Saccharomyces cerevisiae S288C: one gene and its partners. Changing the gene in region 1 together with any one later gene gives a genetic interaction. Each region holds a gene or a part of one and is shown in the gene's direction. Other genes may lie near its edges.

Evidence for each region.
Region 2: mutations in SMM1 (region 1) and IRC24 together harm fitness more than expected from each alone (negative genetic interaction), as found in Saccharomyces cerevisiae (2 studies listed by BioGRID).
Region 3: mutations in SMM1 (region 1) and NDT80 together harm fitness more than expected from each alone (negative genetic interaction), as found in Saccharomyces cerevisiae (2 studies listed by BioGRID).
Region 4: mutations in SMM1 (region 1) and TAN1 together harm fitness more than expected from each alone (negative genetic interaction), as found in Saccharomyces cerevisiae (3 studies listed by BioGRID).

What each region holds. Positions count from the first base shown.
Region 1 is NC_001146.8:651,518-656,595, forward strand, and holds SMM1 (tRNA-dihydrouridine(20) synthase (NAD(+))), read left to right. Parts: upstream 1-1,869; coding exon 1,870-3,024; downstream 3,025-5,078. Other genes in the region: PHO91 (Pho91p), read right to left, coding at 1-195; YNR014W (uncharacterized protein), read left to right, coding at 948-1,586; acetyl-CoA carboxylase ACC1, read right to left, coding at 3,156-5,078. UniProt on the Saccharomyces cerevisiae protein: Catalyzes the NADPH-dependent synthesis of dihydrouridine, a modified base found in the D-loop of most tRNAs. Specifically modifies U20 in cytoplasmic tRNAs. Also able to mediate dihydrouridylation of some mRNAs, thereby affecting their translation.
Region 2 is NC_001141.2:421,078-425,457, reverse strand, and holds IRC24 (sepiapterin reductase family protein IRC24), read left to right. Parts: upstream 1-2,592; coding exon 2,593-3,384; downstream 3,385-4,380. Other genes in the region: GTT1 (bifunctional glutathione transferase/peroxidase), read left to right, coding at 945-1,649; peroxiredoxin HYR1, read right to left, coding at 1,839-2,330; NRE1 (sepiapterin reductase family protein), read left to right, coding at 3,668-4,380. UniProt on the Saccharomyces cerevisiae protein: Reduces benzil stereospecifically to (S)-benzoin. Also reduces 1-phenyl-1,2-propanedione to 2-hydroxy-1-phenyl-1-propanone. Is probably involved in a pathway contributing to genomic integrity.
Region 3 is NC_001140.6:354,966-360,498, forward strand, and holds NDT80 (transcription factor NDT80), read left to right. Parts: upstream 1-1,595; coding exon 1,596-3,479; downstream 3,480-5,533. Other genes in the region: EPT1 (bifunctional diacylglycerol cholinephosphotransferase/ethanolaminephosphotransferase), read left to right, coding at 1-1,116; YHR125W (uncharacterized protein), read left to right, coding at 3,893-4,198; ANS1 (Ans1p), read right to left, coding at 4,737-5,216. UniProt on the Saccharomyces cerevisiae protein: Transcription factor required for successful completion of meiosis and spore formation. Gets activated after completion of meiotic recombination at the end of prophase I.
Region 4 is NC_001139.9:60,324-65,056, forward strand, and holds TAN1 (putative tRNA acetyltransferase), read left to right. Parts: upstream 1-1,751; coding exon 1,752-1,808; intron 1,809-1,866; coding exon 1,867-2,679; downstream 2,680-4,733. Other genes in the region: Rab GTPase-binding exocyst subunit SEC15, read left to right, coding at 1-1,531; chaperone EMC4, read right to left, coding at 2,725-3,297; YGL230C (uncharacterized protein), read right to left, coding at 3,449-3,892; SAP4 (Sap4p), read right to left, coding at 4,180-4,733. UniProt on the Saccharomyces cerevisiae protein: Probable tRNA acetyltransferase required for the formation of the modified nucleoside N(4)-acetylcytidine in serine and leucine tRNAs. Binds RNA.

The sequences.
Region 1 (5,078 bases):
ATCTGGAGAAGCATCTGCCAATAGCGGCAGATTTTCATCGTTGGCGTCATGTGGCTCCACAACATGGTGCTTATTGTTACTGTACAGCTTATCTTTTTGCAAAGAATAGATCAATTTTTTCAGCTGCGAATAGGCCAGATACTTGGTAGACCATTCTGGTACAGAATTGAATTGTAAGGAATGCGAGAACTTCATGTCAGTCTGCAAGTTACCGTGTCACCTTCACAGTTTTCTTTTTATTTGACTAAGTAAAAAAAGAAAAGAAGTTATTTTTACTAAGATTTTGAGCGGCATTTTTCCTAGTTACTTATCAATTTTCATACATGCAAGACATACTCAATTTTTTTTTTTTTTTTTCAGTTTTAAAATTAGTCCTGATCAAAAAGCCATCACGTGGATCCCCGAAAAAAAACGGATCCGGGTAACCAGAAGTATTTTTTTCAAGGGAATAAAAGTTACCCTACCAAAATAAAAAAATTCAAGTAGGGTAATAAAGTTCCACCCCCCATCAGGATTATCGTTCTCTGACATCACCCACTCTCTGCTCGCTCTCTGCTCGCTCTCTGCTTTCTTTCCCCACGCCGGAGTGATTAAGGCGGATAGGCCCACCTGAACACCTCGCTCAGAACATCAGCGAGAGTTCCAGCCCCTCTACCCCTTACCTCTCGCCGCCCCTCATTTCGGATCAAAAGCAAAAGAACAAAGGGCCTTCGCAGAAACGGAAGGTTTCGACCCCTCGGTGCCGTTTTAATTTCTTTTTCTGGCCAGTTAAGCTTTTTGACTTTCTCGAATCAGCCCAGTGCAAAACAGTACGCATACGAGCACACAAATGTATATATATGTGTATGTATATATGTATATAGGTATGTGTGTGTACATCCGAAGCGTAAACTAATGATCTGCAAGTTTCAGATTTTTTCTCGAAAAATATAACTAATAAACGTTCCATGTCGTCCACGGATATCAAGCCTTGTGCCGTGAACATCCCTGTTTCCGCTCACATCACCTTCCACTACAAGTCGATCGCGGACAGAAGCAGCAGCAGGAGCAGCAGCAGCAGCTCCTGCTCCTCTGCTACATCTAAAGCCTGCTCCCCCAGAGGCAGCTCCGTCGGCTTACCGCCTGCTTTATCAACTGACAATGAAATCGTCGAGACTGTACTTAATGTTTCCGCTCCCGTTGTAGCAGACCCTACGCGGCCCTCATTGTTCAAGAGTAACTACACCGCAGCCTCGTGCTTGACTTCTGACCCAACCTCGCCGTCACTACTGCCCTCTTCTAGGCGCAACTCTGTATTGCCGGCAAGCGACTTCCACCAATGCGCGCATCACAAAAACTTTCAAAGAAGGGCCAGTGAGCCACAACTGCCCTCCTTCGATAATCGCTCGTCGTCCGAGATGAAAAGGTCCGTCTCGTACGCCCAGCATAGCATGATGTTCCCCATCAGTGACCAACAGGAGCCGCAAACATCCGCGTCTCCTAACGACCACTCAGACCCGTCTTGTCCTTGCAACAGACATCACCACAGAAGAAACTCGGTCGCCGTCAAGTTTGACAAACCATTGTATGAGAGACTAGAGACGTAGTTATCCATTCGTCCATCCATCTGTCTATCGTCACACAGCATTTCCCATCCCTCCTCTATACATACATACATATACAGTTCTGCGTGGTCTACGCAGCCATGTATATATATATTTCCGTCGTTTTATATATTCATTACTAAAATCGACAATGCATTTTTTGCCGCTTTCCATTTCCTCTACTTTGCTCATCACTTCGCTCGAAGAAAAAATGAAAACCGTCTTGAAAAACTTTTGCTATTTCATCCATCCAAGCCACACCAAATAGCGCAGTCACACAGAGATCATGGTTACATATGCTGGAAAACTGGTTCTAGCTCCAATGGTAAGAGCCGGCGAACTGCCCACGAGACTGATGGCGCTGGCCCACGGTGCAGATCTCGTCTGGTCCCCAGAAATCATCGACAAAAAGCTAATTCAGTGCGTCAGGAAGGAAAACACTGCACTCCAAACTGTCGACTACGTCGTGCCGTCCAAGGTTCAAACGAGGCCGGAGACGCTCGTTTTCAGAACATATCCAAAACTAGAATCCTCTAAATTGATTTTCCAGATCGGGTCTGCATCCCCGGCTCTGGCCACCCAGGCTGCTTTGAAAGTGATCAACGACGTCAGCGGGATAGATATCAATGCAGGCTGCCCCAAACACTTCTCTATACACTCCGGCATGGGCTCTGCCCTCTTGCGCACCCCAGACACACTGTGTCTCATCTTGAAAGAACTGGTTAAGAACGTGGGTAACCCTCACAGCAAACCCATCAGTGTGAAAATAAGACTCTTGGACACCAAGCAAGACACTCTACAGCTCGTCAAACGTCTGTGTGCCACGGGCATCACAAATCTTACAGTTCACTGCAGGAAGACTGAAATGAGAAACAGAGAGCAGCCCATCACAGATTACATTGCGGAGATCTACGAGATATGCCAGGCAAATAACGTGTCGTTGATTGTGAACGGCGCTATCCGCGACCGCTCTCATTTTCATGATTTACAAGCGAATCATTGGAAAAACACTAACATTGGTGGTATGATTGCAGAGTGTGCTGAACGGGACCCTACAGTTTTTGATCACACTTCTAAGCCTTCAGAAGACGGTCCATCTTGGGTCGTTGCTTGTCGCGAGTTTATTCAGTGGGCAACGAAGTTTGACAACCACATCGGCAATACAAAATACATGTTAAGCAGAATTGTCCCCGGAAAATCAGTCTTTTTTCAGTACTTTGCCCGTTGCAAGAGCCCGGAAGAAGTTAGTTTCGTACTAAAGCAATTGAACGATGATGGAAGCGCTCAAACAGATCCTTCAGAGTACTTGGAAAACTGCAGAGCTCAAGAAAAAGCTTTGAAAAACGCCAACGCCATCGCCAAGCAAAAGAGGAAACAGACCGATCACATAGGCAGTGACACTAAAAAGCAAAAGGTTGTACCCCTTCCCACAGATATATAATATATTCTAAGTAAAAAGAACGGATTATGAAAGAAAACGCGCATAATATATATATGTATGTATTTTCTAATTTATATTAGCAACTAAATTAAATTACATCAATACTATTTTTTTTTTTTACTTTACAAGGTTTATTTCAAAGTCTTCAACAATTTTTCTTTATCATCGGTAGATAACATCTTGATAACTTCAGATAATCCATCAATAGCATTGTCATGGTCGCTTCTGATCTTTTTAGCTAAGTCTTGAGCGAATGACTCTAATTTCAAACCCTTTAGTTTATCGTCCAAAGTTTTGTAGTTTTCTTCAATCCATGTTGCGACTTGCCTATCATCTTCATGGTCCACTGAAGCAGGGTACCACGATCTAATTCTTGCGATCTTTTCTAATCTTGATGCTTCGCCTACCTGATGGCTCAACCTTTTAATCAAATATTCTTCGTTCAATCTTCTTCTCAATCTCCAGAAGAAGAAACGACGTGCCTCGGTCCATTCCAGTTCCTTAGAAATAACACCCTTGGCCACCATACGTGAAGACCTATCGTGCAAATCAGCAAATTGAAGACTGATTTGTCCGTAAATTGGCAATAGTTCTCTCTCACGATCAGCTAATTGCTTGGATATTTGCTGATGTACTTCTGGAGCCAAACTCTTGTTGGATAATTGAGATCTCAATTCTCTGTACTTGTCATCCAATCTGTTCATGGTGTCCAGCAATTTTTCTCTACGGAACTTGATACCAACCATACCTTGTGGTTCCAAAACACCAGCTCTAGCGTTGACGTCGGCATACATTTCCATTTGGTCAGCGTTGATAGTTGGATCGACAACAACCCATGAACCACCTCTTAGTTCACCGGTAGGTGGGATATAGATAATAATTGGTTGTTTGTAATCCACCAATGCGTCAACAATAAACGAACCATACTTCAAGACTTCGTTGAACATATCACGTTGACCACCAGAGAAACCTCTCCAGTTGGCCAAAATCATCATTGGCAATTGTTCACCGTTGTTAAAGTCATTGATAGCTTGAGCAGTCTTGAAGGCGGAGTTTGGATGCCAAACTTGACCAGGTTCTTGAATTAATGTTTCAGCACTATTTGGATTAGCTGGATCAGCAGGAATCAAGTTCTCGACAGTTCTTGTTTCAACACCAATAACACCCAGTGGAATACCACCAAGACGGGCTCTACCAACGACAACACCTTTGGCCCATCCTGACAAAGTTTCAAAGAAAGACCCTTTATCAAACAAACCATATTCAAATCCACTTTCAGTCTCACGACCTTCAATCATCCATCTTACATCGTAAGTTTCATCATTAGTTGGAGTGAAATCAACTGGTCTATCCCATGTGTCTTTAGTTTCCAAGATAGGAACTGGCATATTACGCTTGGCTGGAACATAAGACATCCATTCAACAATCTTCTCTACACCAGCTAAATCGTCAACAGCAGTCAAATGTGAAACACCGTTGTTATACATGATTTGAGTACCACCCAATTGTAAGTTAGAAGTATAAACTTCTCTACCCAGCATTTTGTTGATTGCAGGAGCACCAGTTAAAATAATTGGCTGGCCTTCGACCTGAATAGCTCTTTGACCCAAACGAACCAAATAAGCACCGATACCGACGGATCTACAAGTGACTAAGGTGATAGTGAAGATATCGTGGTAAGCCCTTGACGTTGCACCAGCAATTAAACCAGATCCACGTAGACATTCGACACCTAACCCATCTTCAGAACCAATAATTGTCTTGATGACAAATCTTTCTTCACCGTTTATAACAGTACGTTCAGTGAGAACAGAATTTTCTTTGTCAAATTTCTTTAAAGTTTCCATACCTTCACTTGTTAAGTATAAGTATTGGAAGCCCTTGTCCGGATTGGCAGCATCATTCCATGCAACTTGAAATAGTGGAACAATCTCTTCAGCCATACCAATTCTGGCACCTGAGTTTGCAGCCAAGTAAATTCTTGGGATACCACGCTTTCTAGCATATTCAGTAACCTTATTGAAGAATTCGTCTTCTTGTGGACCAAAGGAACC
Region 2 (4,380 bases), on another chromosome or scaffold:
TACTGCAAGAAAAGTTATAGCCTACCATCCTGAGCAAATAAAGTTGCTTCCTGCTCAACTTTTTTTTTTCCTTGTATCATTTTATTTTTTTCTTGGCTCGCACTGCGCAGGTGACGGTAAAGAAAACAGGCCAGCTTTCACTTTCTATATATATTACTAGTGCAACCGTACTTATTCTCTTGTAAGGTTACCGTCTATTCATTCCGCTGCTGCTTCTAGTATCCTTAGAATCGTAATTGTTTACGAACAGTTTGTATTGAATCAGCTCCTCTCTTCTTTAGCCAAATACCGTCGGTAAAATGCAGTTCATGGGCACGGAGCAGTGCGTCATCGGTTCTATACGGTAACTTGACATTGCATGGATAAGATCTTTGATAGTAACATACATCTGGCTGGGGGAAATGCATGGCGTTCAGTTTCGGGGTTTGACCTTACTTTTTTGAAGAAGACTTTACTCAAGAGTGTAAGCTCCCTTGGGGGAGGACATATTACGGAAACAGGGTGTCCAAAAAACACCTATTGCGCTTATAACTAGTACATTGCTCAAATGAGGATTTTTACAAGGCTTAGCCCAGCCCGTCTTGTATTGACAAAGTTAAGCACCTCAAGCTCACACCAAAGTGGGCCCTAAGGGTGATCTGTATGCCAAGGCTAGCCTAATAGGAAAACCACCACCGGCAGTTACAACCTCCGTTAGCAACAGAGGGGGTGCCTCGCAATAGCCAAGGATAAGCCCCTCCTTGTTACTATGACAATCGCACTTTTCATGCTACGGCCATTTACTAATGATTTTCACCTCGTACCCGCTCGCTCCAGTATGGTGAAAATTTAGGGGAAGTGGATAACGTTGAAATACTATGGCAGAATCCTTATATATAAAACGATCGTTGATATTTTTTACAACAACCTAAAATGAGAGGGAAAAGGTAAATCAAGGAAGCATTATGTCGTTGCCAATTATCAAAGTCCATTGGTTGGACCATTCCAGAGCGTTCAGACTTTTGTGGTTATTAGACCATTTGAACCTTGAATATGAAATTGTCCCTTATAAAAGAGATGCTAACTTCCGTGCTCCACCAGAATTAAAGAAAATTCACCCATTAGGAAGATCTCCATTGTTAGAAGTTCAAGACAGAGAAACTGGTAAGAAGAAGATACTTGCCGAGTCCGGTTTCATCTTCCAATATGTCTTGCAGCATTTTGATCATTCACACGTTTTAATGAGCGAAGATGCTGATATTGCAGACCAGATTAACTATTATCTGTTTTATGTAGAAGGTTCCTTGCAACCACCTTTAATGATTGAGTTCATTCTTTCAAAGGTGAAGGATTCTGGTATGCCCTTCCCTATTTCGTACTTGGCAAGAAAAGTGGCAGACAAGATCAGTCAGGCATACTCTAGTGGTGAAGTTAAGAACCAGTTCGACTTTGTGGAGGGTGAAATTTCCAAAAATAACGGCTACCTGGTTGATGGGAAGTTGAGCGGTGCCGATATCTTGATGTCTTTCCCTTTGCAGATGGCGTTTGAAAGAAAGTTTGCCGCACCAGAGGATTATCCTGCCATTTCCAAATGGTTAAAGACCATAACCTCAGAGGAGTCGTATGCTGCTTCTAAGGAAAAGGCGCGTGCTTTAGGTAGCAATTTCTAAACCGTTTTGTTGCGTTCGTACGGCACTAGCAGCCGCGTAATTCGTTCACACACTTCAATACATATGTATGTATACGTATATAGTCTGTTGCGACACATAATAATTGACAGGTTTGACTAGCGAGTATGTATTATCAGGAAATATAAAAGAAAACTAAGCTTTACCTAACTTCAAAAGAAGAAGACCTGCCTATTCCACCTCTTTCAAAAGTTCTTCGATGGTTTCGGACAACGAAGAAGGTTTGGTTAGTGAAGAGTATCTTTCGTACACTTTACCCTTTTTATCGACTAAGAATTTTTCAAAATTCCATTTGATACCTCTCAAGCCCAACATACCGGATTTTTGGCTCTTCAAAAACTTGTAAACAGGGTCCTCATTGCCACCATTAACGTCAATTTTTTTCATAATGGGGAAAGTCACGCCATAGTTCAGTTGGCAGAACTGGGCAATTTCTTCATCAGAGCCAGGTTCTTGGTGGCCAAACTGGTTGCATGGGAACCCGATGATGGTAAATCCTTCGTCCTTATAACGTTTGTACAAGGCCTCTAGTTCTTTGTATTGAGGAGTGAATCCACATTTGGAGGCAACATTAACGATAAGCACCACTTTTCCCTTTAATTGGTCGAAGGGGAATGGTTGGCCTTTCTTGTCAACAGGTGCTAGCTTATAGAATTCTGACATGATAAACTTGAATACTTTACGAGATGACAGCTTGGAAGAGAGAGACGTGGAAAGCTCTGATGCTGTTTTTATTACTATTGCTTTTCCGATATTAAGGGAGCATACTGTTCCTCATGGTTTTTTCCCTCTTTTTTTCACTTTTTGACCTTTTTCGTAAAGTGGCTAAAAACGATAATGCAGAAAAAGAAGAAGGAATACAGGAAATAAGGGCTGTCGCGAACAGCAACAAGAGAAACAACTTATAATCTGTCAAAGAAGGGATATGGGCAAGGTTATTTTGATTACAGGTGCCTCCCGTGGGATTGGCCTGCAATTGGTGAAAACTGTTATCGAAGAGGACGATGAATGCATCGTCTACGGCGTAGCAAGAACGGAAGCTGGTCTGCAGTCTTTGCAAAGAGAATACGGTGCAGACAAATTTGTCTATCGTGTCCTCGACATCACGGACAGGTCTCGAATGGAAGCGTTGGTGGAGGAAATCCGGCAAAAGCATGGAAAACTGGACGGTATTGTCGCAAATGCGGGGATGCTAGAACCGGTGAAGTCCATCTCCCAGTCCAACTCCGAACACGACATCAAGCAGTGGGAACGGCTGTTCGATGTGAACTTTTTCAGCATTGTCTCTTTGGTGGCACTGTGTTTACCCCTCTTGAAGAGCTCGCCATTTGTAGGCAACATTGTCTTCGTCAGCTCTGGAGCCAGTGTGAAACCATATAACGGATGGTCGGCGTACGGCTGCTCGAAAGCCGCATTAAACCACTTTGCCATGGACATTGCCAGTGAAGAGCCCAGTGATAAAGTGCGTGCCGTGTGTATTGCACCGGGCGTCGTTGACACGCAGATGCAGAAAGATATTAGGGAAACATTGGGTCCTCAGGGCATGACACCCAAGGCTCTCGAGAGGTTTACTCAATTGTACAAGACTTCGTCACTGCTGGACCCAAAGGTGCCTGCGGCGGTACTAGCGCAACTCGTCCTGAAAGGTATTCCCGACTCTTTGAACGGTCAATATCTCCGCTACAACGATGAGCGACTGGGGCCGGTGCAGGGCTAGTACTAAACTATATTATGTAAAAGGGTATAGTTATAGTTTTTAGCTACTAAACTTTTATTGGGTTTGCGATGAGCGACAGTTTTGTGCGGCCATTTCTGTGCCAAGAACCGGATTGAATGTATCACCGAAGGAATTCCGCGGTGTTTTCAAAGAAATGAAGAGAAGACAGTATGAACATTAACTTTTGCATATATATACGTAAACGAAAAAGATCAAGTGCAATGGAAGAATATTGTACCTAAAAAAAAGGGTCTAACTACAGCGTGTAACAGGTTAAAAAAACATGGGTAAAGTTATTTTAGTTACAGGTGTTTCCAGAGGTATCGGTAAGTCCATCGTGGATGTTCTTTTCAGTTTGGACAAGGACACGGTTGTTTACGGTGTAGCCAGGTCTGAGGCACCCTTGAAGAAGTTGAAAGAGAAGTATGGCGACAGGTTTTTTTACGTTGTCGGTGATATTACCGAGGATTCCGTGTTGAAGCAGTTGGTTAACGCTGCTGTTAAGGGCCACGGCAAGATCGACTCCTTGGTTGCCAACGCTGGTGTCCTAGAGCCCGTGCAAAATGTCAACGAGATTGATGTCAACGCTTGGAAGAAGCTGTATGACATCAACTTCTTCAGCATTGTTTCCTTGGTTGGCATTGCGTTACCTGAATTGAAGAAGACCAACGGTAACGTGGTATTCGTCAGTTCGGACGCCTGTAACATGTACTTCAGCAGTTGGGGAGCTTACGGTTCTTCAAAAGCCGCTCTGAACCACTTCGCCATGACTCTGGCCAACGAGGAAAGGCAAGTGAAAGCCATTGCCGTCGCCCCAGGTATTGTGGACACAGATATGCAAGTTAACATTAGGGAGAACGTGGGGCCTTCCTCCATGAGTGCAGAGCAATTGAAGATGTTTAGAGGTTTAAAGGAGAATAACCAGTTGCTGGATAGCTCTGTGCCAGCTACAGTTTATGCCAAATTGGCCCTTCATGGTATTCCTGACGGTGTTAA
Region 3 (5,533 bases), on another chromosome or scaffold:
GAAGACCGCTCGCTGGTATCGAAGTATTTCTTAAAGCCATTTTGGCAAAGATTTTGTCACATATTTCCCACGTGGATGGCGCCCAACATCATCACATTATCAGGATTTGCTTTTATAGTTATCAACGTGTTGACTGTATTCTATTACGATCCAAACCTTAACACAGATACGCCTCGCTGGACATATTTTTCTTACGCTTTAGGTGTATTCCTATATCAAACGTTCGATGGATGTGATGGTGTACACGCTCGCCGTATCAATCAATCAGGACCCTTAGGAGAACTATTCGATCATAGTATTGATGCCATTAATTCTACTCTGTCTATTTTCATCTTCGCATCCGAAACTGGAATGGGATTTTCGTATAACTTAATGTTATCCCAATTTGCGATGCTGACGAATTTTTACTTAAGTACTTGGGAAGAGTACCATACACACACATTATACTTAAGTGAGTTTTCTGGACCCGTGGAAGGCATCCTGATTGTTTGCGTTTCATTGATACTGACAGGTATATACGGAAAACAGGTAATCTGGCATACCTACTTATTTACAATTACAGTTGGTGATAAGGTAATTGATGTAGACACTCTAGATATTGTTTTTTCCCTAGCTGTTTTCGGTTTGGTTATGAACGCATTGTCTGCGAAAAGAAACGTGGATAAGTATTATAGAAACAGCACTTCTTCGGCCAACAATATCACGCAAATTGAGCAAGATAGTGCTATAAAAGGTCTTTTGCCCTTTTTTGCCTATTATGCAAGCATTGCTTTACTAGTGTGGATGCAACCAAGCTTTATTACACTCTCTTTCATCCTTTCCGTTGGTTTCACGGGAGCATTTACCGTCGGAAGAATAATCGTTTGCCATTTAACTAAGCAGAGCTTTCCCATGTTCAATGCACCCATGTTAATTCCTTTGTGCCAGATAGTATTGTACAAAATATGTCTATCCCTTTGGGGAATTGAGTCTAATAAAATCGTCTTTGCCCTATCTTGGCTTGGGTTCGGTCTCTCACTAGGTGTTCACATTATGTTTATGAATGACATTATCCATGAATTTACTGAGTACCTGGACGTTTATGCTTTATCCATCAAGCGCTCCAAGCTGACATAAATCGCACTTTGTATCTACTTTTTTTTATTCGAAAACAAGGCACAACAATGAATCTATCGCCCTGTGAGATTTTCAATCTCAAGTTTGTGTAATAGATAGCGTTATATTATAGAACTATAAAGGTCCTTGAATATACATAGTGTTTCATTCCTATTACTGTATATGTGACTTTACATTGTTACTTCCGCGGCTATTTGACGTTTTCTGCTTCAGGTGCGGCTTGGAGGGCAAAGTGTCAGAAAATCGGCCAGGCCGTATGACACAAAAGAGTAGAAAACGAGATCTCAAATATCTCGAGGCCTGTCCTCTATACAACCGCCCAGCTCTCTGACAAAGCTCCAGAACGGTTGTCTTTTGTTTCGAAAAGCCAAGGTCCCTTATAATTGCCCTCCATTTTGTGTCACCTATTTAAGCAAAAAATTGAAAGTTTACTAACCTTTCATTAAAGAGAAATAACAATATTATAAAAAGCGCTTAAAATGAATGAAATGGAAAACACAGATCCAGTATTACAGGATGATCTCGTATCCAAATATGAGAGGGAATTAAGCACAGAACAGGAAGAGGATACGCCTGTTATCCTTACGCAGTTGAATGAAGATGGCACCACTTCGAATTATTTCGACAAAAGGAAACTAAAAATTGCCCCTAGATCAACACTACAGTTCAAAGTGGGACCTCCATTTGAATTAGTGAGAGATTATTGTCCAGTCGTTGAGTCTCATACCGGAAGAACACTAGATTTACGAATTATTCCAAGAATTGACAGAGGGTTCGACCATATTGATGAAGAGTGGGTAGGTTATAAAAGAAATTATTTTACCTTAGTATCAACGTTTGAAACGGCAAATTGTGATTTGGATACTTTTTTAAAGAGCAGTTTTGATCTTCTCGTTGAAGACTCTTCAGTAGAAAGCAGATTAAGAGTGCAATATTTCGCTATCAAAATAAAAGCTAAGAATGACGACGACGACACGGAAATCAATCTCGTCCAGCATACAGCGAAACGCGACAAAGGTCCTCAATTTTGTCCTTCAGTATGTCCGTTGGTGCCTTCCCCTTTGCCAAAACATCAAATCATAAGAGAAGCTTCAAATGTTCGAAATATCACTAAAATGAAAAAATACGATTCCACTTTTTATTTGCACAGAGACCACGTTAATTATGAAGAATATGGAGTGGACTCTTTATTGTTTTCCTATCCAGAAGATTCTATTCAGAAAGTTGCCCGTTATGAAAGAGTTCAATTTGCTTCATCAATTAGCGTGAAGAAACCATCCCAACAAAATAAACACTTTAGCTTGCATGTAATTTTAGGTGCAGTGGTAGATCCAGATACCTTTCATGGGGAGAATCCCGGAATTCCTTATGATGAACTGGCTTTAAAAAATGGATCAAAAGGGATGTTTGTGTATTTGCAAGAAATGAAAACGCCTCCTCTTATTATTAGAGGAAGATCACCTTCTAACTATGCGTCATCTCAGCGAATAACTGTGAGAACACCGTCGAGTGTCAATTCCTCACAAAACAGCACAAAAAGAAAAATGCCATCAATGGCGCAGCCGTTAAATGAAAGTTGCTTAAATGCAAGACCTTCGAAAAGGCGATCCAAAGTGGCGCTAGGTGCACCGAACTCTGGGGCCTCCATCTCGCCTATCAAATCTCGTCAATCCACACCAATGGAAGCTTCGAAGGAAAATGAGGATCCGTTCTTCAGGCCAAATAAAAGGGTGGAGACTCTTGAACATATCCAGAACAAACTGGGTGCTTTGAAAAATCAATGTCCAGATTCCTCTCTGAAATATCCGAGTTCATCTTCAAGAGGTATGGAAGGGTGTTTAGAAAAGGAGGATTTAGTTTACTCAAGTAGTTTTTCTGTTAATATGAAGCAAATCGAACTGAAACCGGCACGCTCTTTTGAACATGAGAATATTTTCAAAGTAGGCTCATTAGCATTCAAAAAAATCAATGAATTACCTCATGAAAATTATGATATAACAATAGAGAAGAAATCAATGGAACAGAATTATCTAAGACCAGAGATAGGCTCACGTTCTGAATGCAAAACAAGCTATGGTAACGAACTCTCCCTTTCAAATATTTCTTTCTCTATACTACCTAACTCAGCAGAAAATTTTCACTTGGAAACTGCACTTTTCCCAGCTACGGAAGAGGATGTGCCAAGGACATTTTCAAGAATATTAGAAACAGGTTCGTTTCAAAATTATTATCAAAAAATGGATGCAGAAAATGCAGATAGGGTATATTCGAAAGGGGTCAAGTTGATTGCAAGCGGTACTCTACCATCTGGTATATTTAATAGGGAAGAATTGTTTGAGGAAGATAGTTTCTATAAGTATTAAATAAACTAATGATTTTAAATCGTTAAAAAAATATGCGAATTCTGTGGATCGAACACAGGACCTCCAGATAACTTGACCGAAGTTTTTTCTTCAGTCTGGCGCTCTCCCAACTGAGCTAAATCCGCTTACTATTTGTTATCAGTTCCCTTCATATCTACATAGAATAGGTTAAGTATTTTATTAGTTGCCAGAAGAACTACTGATAGTTGGGAATATTTGGTGAATAATGAAGATTGGGTGAATAATTTGATAATTTTGAGATTCAATTGTTAATCAATGTTACAATATTATGTATACAGAGTATACTAGAAGTTCTCTTCGGAGATCTTGAAGTTCACAAAAGGGAATCGATATTTCTACATAATATTATCATTACTTCTTCCCCATCTTATATTTGTCATTCATTATTGATTATGATCAATGCAATAATGATTGGTAGTTGCCAAACATTTAATACGATCCTCTGTAATATTTCTATGAATAATTATCACAGCAACGTTCAATTATCTTCAATTCGGCTTCAGTACTGTATGAAATACTCGCTAACATTTTCTTTATTCTATAATAGCACAGTGACACTTAAACGTCAAACGTGGCGCACATTAATATACGATGTATGCATTTGGCTTGACACTGCTGTAATAAGGAACATCATCATCCGTCAACTAGTAGTCACATTAGTAGTGTATTATCACATGGTGTGTAAGAACATTACGTAAAGATTGAAAAAAAGTCATCAAAAATAAAGGAAGCTGAAACGCAAGGACTAGTAGTGTAATAGAATAATATTGTGTAAAAGTATCGATACCCTTTTTGGAATTATTGTATCTTCGAGGGTGGCTTTTAATATATTTTTGAAAACCTAATATTATAACCTTTCACAACAACGAAATCCCAACTGTTGTGTAATAATTTTACTCAATTCTTACTATTGCTTTACCAATCCTTGTATTTGAGCTCTCATAAAGTTCGCTGACTACTTCTCACGACTCATGTCATCTCCTTATACTGTATATGATAATATACTGGTGGTGAATGACAGCAAACTCTTTCTGGAAAACTTCTTGTCCTAAAGAACAAAATCAGTGTAATGTGTAGGCCAGTGTTATGTTTTCATGAATATGACATCTGATAAGAATAAAACAACTGGTAAAATGACTGCTTTTTCGGCTTATAAAATTCTAACATGTACATATTTTTTATAAAATGAAAATACTATTGTCCTTAATTGTACAATTTTTACATTTGGAGGCCAAATTATAAAAATAATAGCGCTGCTACTCCAACTATATAACCCATGTTCTTGGATTCAACCTTCATACCAGCACCTTCATAGACAGAGACATTTGCGGTACTACTTGGGGTAGTAGCAGCGGTAGTCTCAGGTCCAGACGCAGTGGCTTGGATTTGACCATCACTGATCTGTGAAATAGCGGCATCTTGCTTTTTGCCGGGTTGATGATCTGCAACAGCGCTTCTATTGGAACGATACAATGAGCCATTCCAACCACCCACATCATATACAGCTGCATTAGATATCTTTTTCTGCTGAGCTGCTAAGGACCAAGATGCGCTGCTGTTGAAGGCTTCATCAGTCGAATTAAATTTTCCTTCTATGTACGAGTTCGTACTATTCGCAAATTGTACGTCCAACGTGTCTGAGGAGTTGCTTACTTGTGCATGTGCAACTAGAATATTGGTGATGGCAAACAATGTGGAAACTAAAGTGCACTTCATGGTAGATTAATTATGATGTTCGTTTGATTCTGTTCTATATTTTTTATATGCTGACTGAACAGATTATAAAAATTAAATTACATGAAGTATTGAAGTTAATGTTGGCTATTTTTGAGGAGGAGGTTCACCTTTATATAGTATTCCTCGAGCTACAAAAACATGGATATTTTTACAAATGCTAGTAAAAAGGAAAGAGGTCAAAAGAAACGTTTGGCATCAAAAGTAATCAAAGTGGGGTCTAGATTTATAATTTGTACTACGAAGAATCGCGACTCAAGGTACCAGGTACGACTGAAACTTTCTTTTTGGATTTTCGA
Region 4 (4,733 bases), on another chromosome or scaffold:
CTTCTTATTATATGATATTAATTTGAATAAAGCTACAGAATTTATCCTCGTTGATAATAACTATAATTCTACAAATGAATTTTGGGATGGACTCATGGACAGGTTGTCACCATATTTGAGTTATTTCATAGATGAGAAGCTGAAAACAGAAGAAGACATGATTAAATTGAAAGATTTTCTTTGTATTTATGTTGCCATTTTAGAAAATTTCAAACTGAACATCGAACCTTTATATAAAATTTTGGTTTCAATTTTCGAGAAATTCTGCTCTGTTTCCTTGAGAGCTTTTGACGATGAATTTCAAATCTTGTTAAACGATGATGATTTTATGCCTTTATCCATTAATGACAAGACATTATATGAGAAAGTTTTGAAGATTTGCTGGATGAAGGAGGGCGAACACCTTTCCCTGCCAGATCCAACCAACGGAGAGCCATTTGCTGTGACTTTGCCTTTTTCTCCATTATACCCAATGACGTGTACACTTGCTAAGAAAACATATTCTAAAATAACCGCATTTCTTTCCATATTTTATCGTCATGAGCTACACACTTTGAATAATATTTTGGTCAAAACAATGGACGATATATTTAATGATATCGTCAATAAAAAAATTCGTTCTAAACTTGAAAGTACGTCGAGAGAAGAAATTGCACAAATCTTAGTCAATTTAGATTATTTTATCATAGCAGCAAAAGAATTTAGTAACTTCATGACAAGAGAGAATATTTTACAAAACCCGGATATGGAAATACGGTTATCCTCGATAAAATATCTTGCGGAAAGCAGAAAATTGGCAGAAACAAAGTTAATTGAATTAATCGATTCTAAGATATCAGATATTCTTGAAACTATTGAAATTGACTGGCAAATAACGGAGGTAAGGCAAGACCCGGATATCTCCATCATTGATCTGGCACAATTTTTAGAAATGATGTTTGCCAGCACGCTACAAAATTTACCATACAGCGTCCAAACATTATTGATTTTCCGTGAATTTGACTCCTTGACGAGACAATTCATGGGTCTATTATTGCATGACACACCAAGTACAATTACACATGAAAGCATAATGAATTTTGAAGTTGATGTCAATTATTTAGAGAGCATTATTCCCAGAATTTTCCCCTCTACACCAGGTACTATAGATAGTAATGGATACCAGTCGCCAATGACCCCTTCGACGCCTACATTTCCAAATGCCAACGGTGTTGACGCACCAACATTATTTGAAAATAATATCAAATCGCTAGAAGCTACATTTATGGAGTTGAAGCAGTGTATAGAGTTATTAAAGACTCAGGGAAAAGATTATAATGAACCAGAAATAAGATTAAGAAAATATTCAAGAATTAGACAGGAAGATGCGGCTCTTTTGTTGAGCAAGATTCAGCACTTCGTCTCATCTGTAGAAGGAGCTAACGGCGATGACACTAGCGTAATGGATAGTAGCAGCATATTCAACTCTGAATCAGCGAGTGTCATTGACTCTAATACGAGTAGGATAGCCAAATTTTTTAATAGACGTTAAAAAATTAGATATTATCTCAGTATAATCATTTGTACGTTCATAAGAAAGAATTTCGGACAGTCTTGAGTTTTTTGGTTTTAGCATCGAAAAAGTTCACTTCAAATAAATTTTTTTTTTATCATTGAATAACTCTTTATTTTTCACGTCAACCAAATACATCTCAAAAGTCTACTATATATTGAAAAGTATCATACAATTAGTGTAAATAAGTATCTTAATTATGGGTGAAAAACGTAACCGTAATGGTAAGGATGCAAATTCCCAAAACAGGAAGAAAGTATGTCTGTCTGCACACGAATTAGAGTTCTTTAAGTACTAACGATCAAAAGTAATAGTTTAAAGTATCTTCCGGATTCTTAGACCCTGGTACGTCTGGAATATATGCCACATGTTCTAGAAGACATGAACGTCAAGCAGCCCAAGAGTTGCAGCTTTTATTCGAAGAAAAATTTCAAGAACTCTATGGGGATATCAAAGAAGGAGAAGATGAAAGTGAAAATGACGAAAAGAAAGATCTATCAATTGAAGACCAGATAAAAAAGGAATTACAAGAATTGAAAGGTGAAGAAACAGGCAAAGATTTATCTTCAGGGGAGACAAAGAAGAAAGACCCCTTAGCCTTCATCGACTTGAACTGTGAGTGCGTGACATTTTGTAAAACAAGAAAGCCAATTGTTCCCGAAGAATTTGTGCTAAGTATCATGAAAGACTTAGCGGATCCCAAAAATATGGTTAAACGTACTAGATATGTTCAGAAATTAACACCTATTACGTACTCTTGTAATGCAAAAATGGAGCAATTAATCAAGTTGGCCAATTTGGTTATTGGGCCACACTTTCATGACCCTTCGAATGTTAAAAAAAATTATAAATTTGCTGTAGAAGTGACAAGAAGAAATTTCAATACGATTGAAAGAATGGACATCATTAATCAAGTTGTGAAGCTGGTCAATAAAGAGGGTTCTGAGTTTAATCATACTGTGGACTTGAAGAACTATGATAAATTGATTCTAGTGGAATGTTTTAAGAGCAATATCGGAATGTGTGTAGTCGATGGGGATTATAAAACCAAATATCGTAAATACAACGTTCAACAGCTTTATGAATCGAAATTCCGAAAGGATGAAGATAAGAGTGTAAAACAATAATCATATATGAAACAGAATAGATATTTTATATAAGTATATACGCTCTCAATCGGAAAACCATTGTAATCCATTATTATAATGAGCAATTCGTTCCCAGGGTAGCCAATCACCCTTAGCGTTAGGAATGAGACCCATTGAATTTAGTTTCCTGTATCCAATGTACATTAAGACGCCTTGGAATACGATATACATGAACATAGCAGTTTGCACTTGACTTTGTGTTGCTTTATTACCCAACACTGGTTTGAATGCACTCCTTGTTGAAAATATTGCTTTAATGGGTCCAGAGAGTAGCATGAGGGCAGTCATTATAGGAATGATTTGTAAGGATGTACCGGACATATACGACATAAAAATATTCATCGGAATAGATTTGGCTGGTTGTAACGCAATTTGCCATGCCTTCTGTACTTGTAATACTGTTATTTGGTTTTTTTGTGCCAAAGAAGTAGTTTGAGATGTAGCATCTTGTTGTTTTCTTGTAACATTTCCTTTAGAGGAATTACCTTCAAATCCTGGTGGTGAAGGTAATGTGTTTGAGTTCTGAATGTTGTATTTTTCGATATACTTGGTGTCCAATAGGTGTTTAGCCCATTCGTAAGGCTCCTGTTCACTCATTTCTGTTGCTTATATCGTTTGGCTTTATTTTAACCTTAACTGATATTATGTTCAACTTTTTTTCATTCTATTTATATAGAAAAGAATACGCTTTTTTTATTATTTATGAAAGGAACATGAAAAAACTACGAATGTACAAAAGCAGAGATTGCTAGAGAATACATTGGTCAAGAATTTTCGCATATGGAACGCATTGCTCTTTTAGATGGGCTGTTAAATAATCGTAATTTAGGTTAGTTATTGCCCTTTGCGTCTTCCGTGGAACAATGTTGGTCCAATAAATTATAAAGAAAAGAAATTGGATAGCACAAATAAAAGAGCAAGCGATAATGCAAAACATTAAAAGTCTGTTTTCCATTAGTTTGTAATATTCTGAGGTCATCAATAAAAACCATTTTTTCGTTCTTGTAAAATTGTATCTCTCATCTGTATTGGATTTTTCGACCATTTGAAAATCATCCTTGCTTTTTCCTTTATATTCAGTCGAGGAATCATTTGCTGTATTAGGCTCTGGTTGAGAAACCTCTTCAAGGCCCTTTTTTGGGTAGGCTTTCAATAAATGTAGAACATTGCCGGATAGTGTAATAATTCCCATTATTATGGTTTTGTTTTGCCTGGTTTGGGCCTGACTTTAGTTATATGATTATTTTTGTATAGATAGCTATAAGTTATTGAAAGTAAGCTAGACAATAATTTTTGGTGAATAGTTGGTGAACATTCCTGAACTACAAAGGACTATTGTTATATTTAGTTTACTTCAATTGGCCCCCAATAGGCTTCGTAATTTTTACATGTCACAAAATTAAATAAGGCAAAACGAGAAACAAAATATTAAAAATGTAGGAAAAAAAAAGTCAAAATTGGTTTGACGACTTAACCTAATCAATTTAAGTCGGAATGATGATCAACAATAACATCTTTAATTTTATCATGAATATCTAATTCGGTTAATTGACCCAATTCATCTATGAGCTCGGCAACTTTATCATGCAACTTAACATCCTCCTCGTGAACAATTTCATTCTCATCCATTGTGGATGGATGAGCTGGTTTACTCATATCAGCTTTTTCCAAAAAGTCCTGGTTAGTATTTTCATCGCTTTCGGCACAGAACTGGCCTCCACCAAGAATTATTGAACACATTGTCCTTGTTTCGTTCAAGATGTCACTAGAATATGACATCCAAACTTCATCTTGTAAGAAGGCATATATATCTGGAGCAATTAGATCGGTCTTATAAATTTTGGAATACTTCGCAATTTCTTCGGCAATTAATACTAATTGACCCATATAACCTAAATTTGTTTTCTCTTTTTCGTAAAATTCAAACGAATCCTTGTGGCCTTGTAAAATGAAATCAGAGATAATATGGAAGTCTTTAACAGGTAACTTTTGGTTGCTGCCGTACAAAGGTTTTGGGATAAATCTTGTAGACT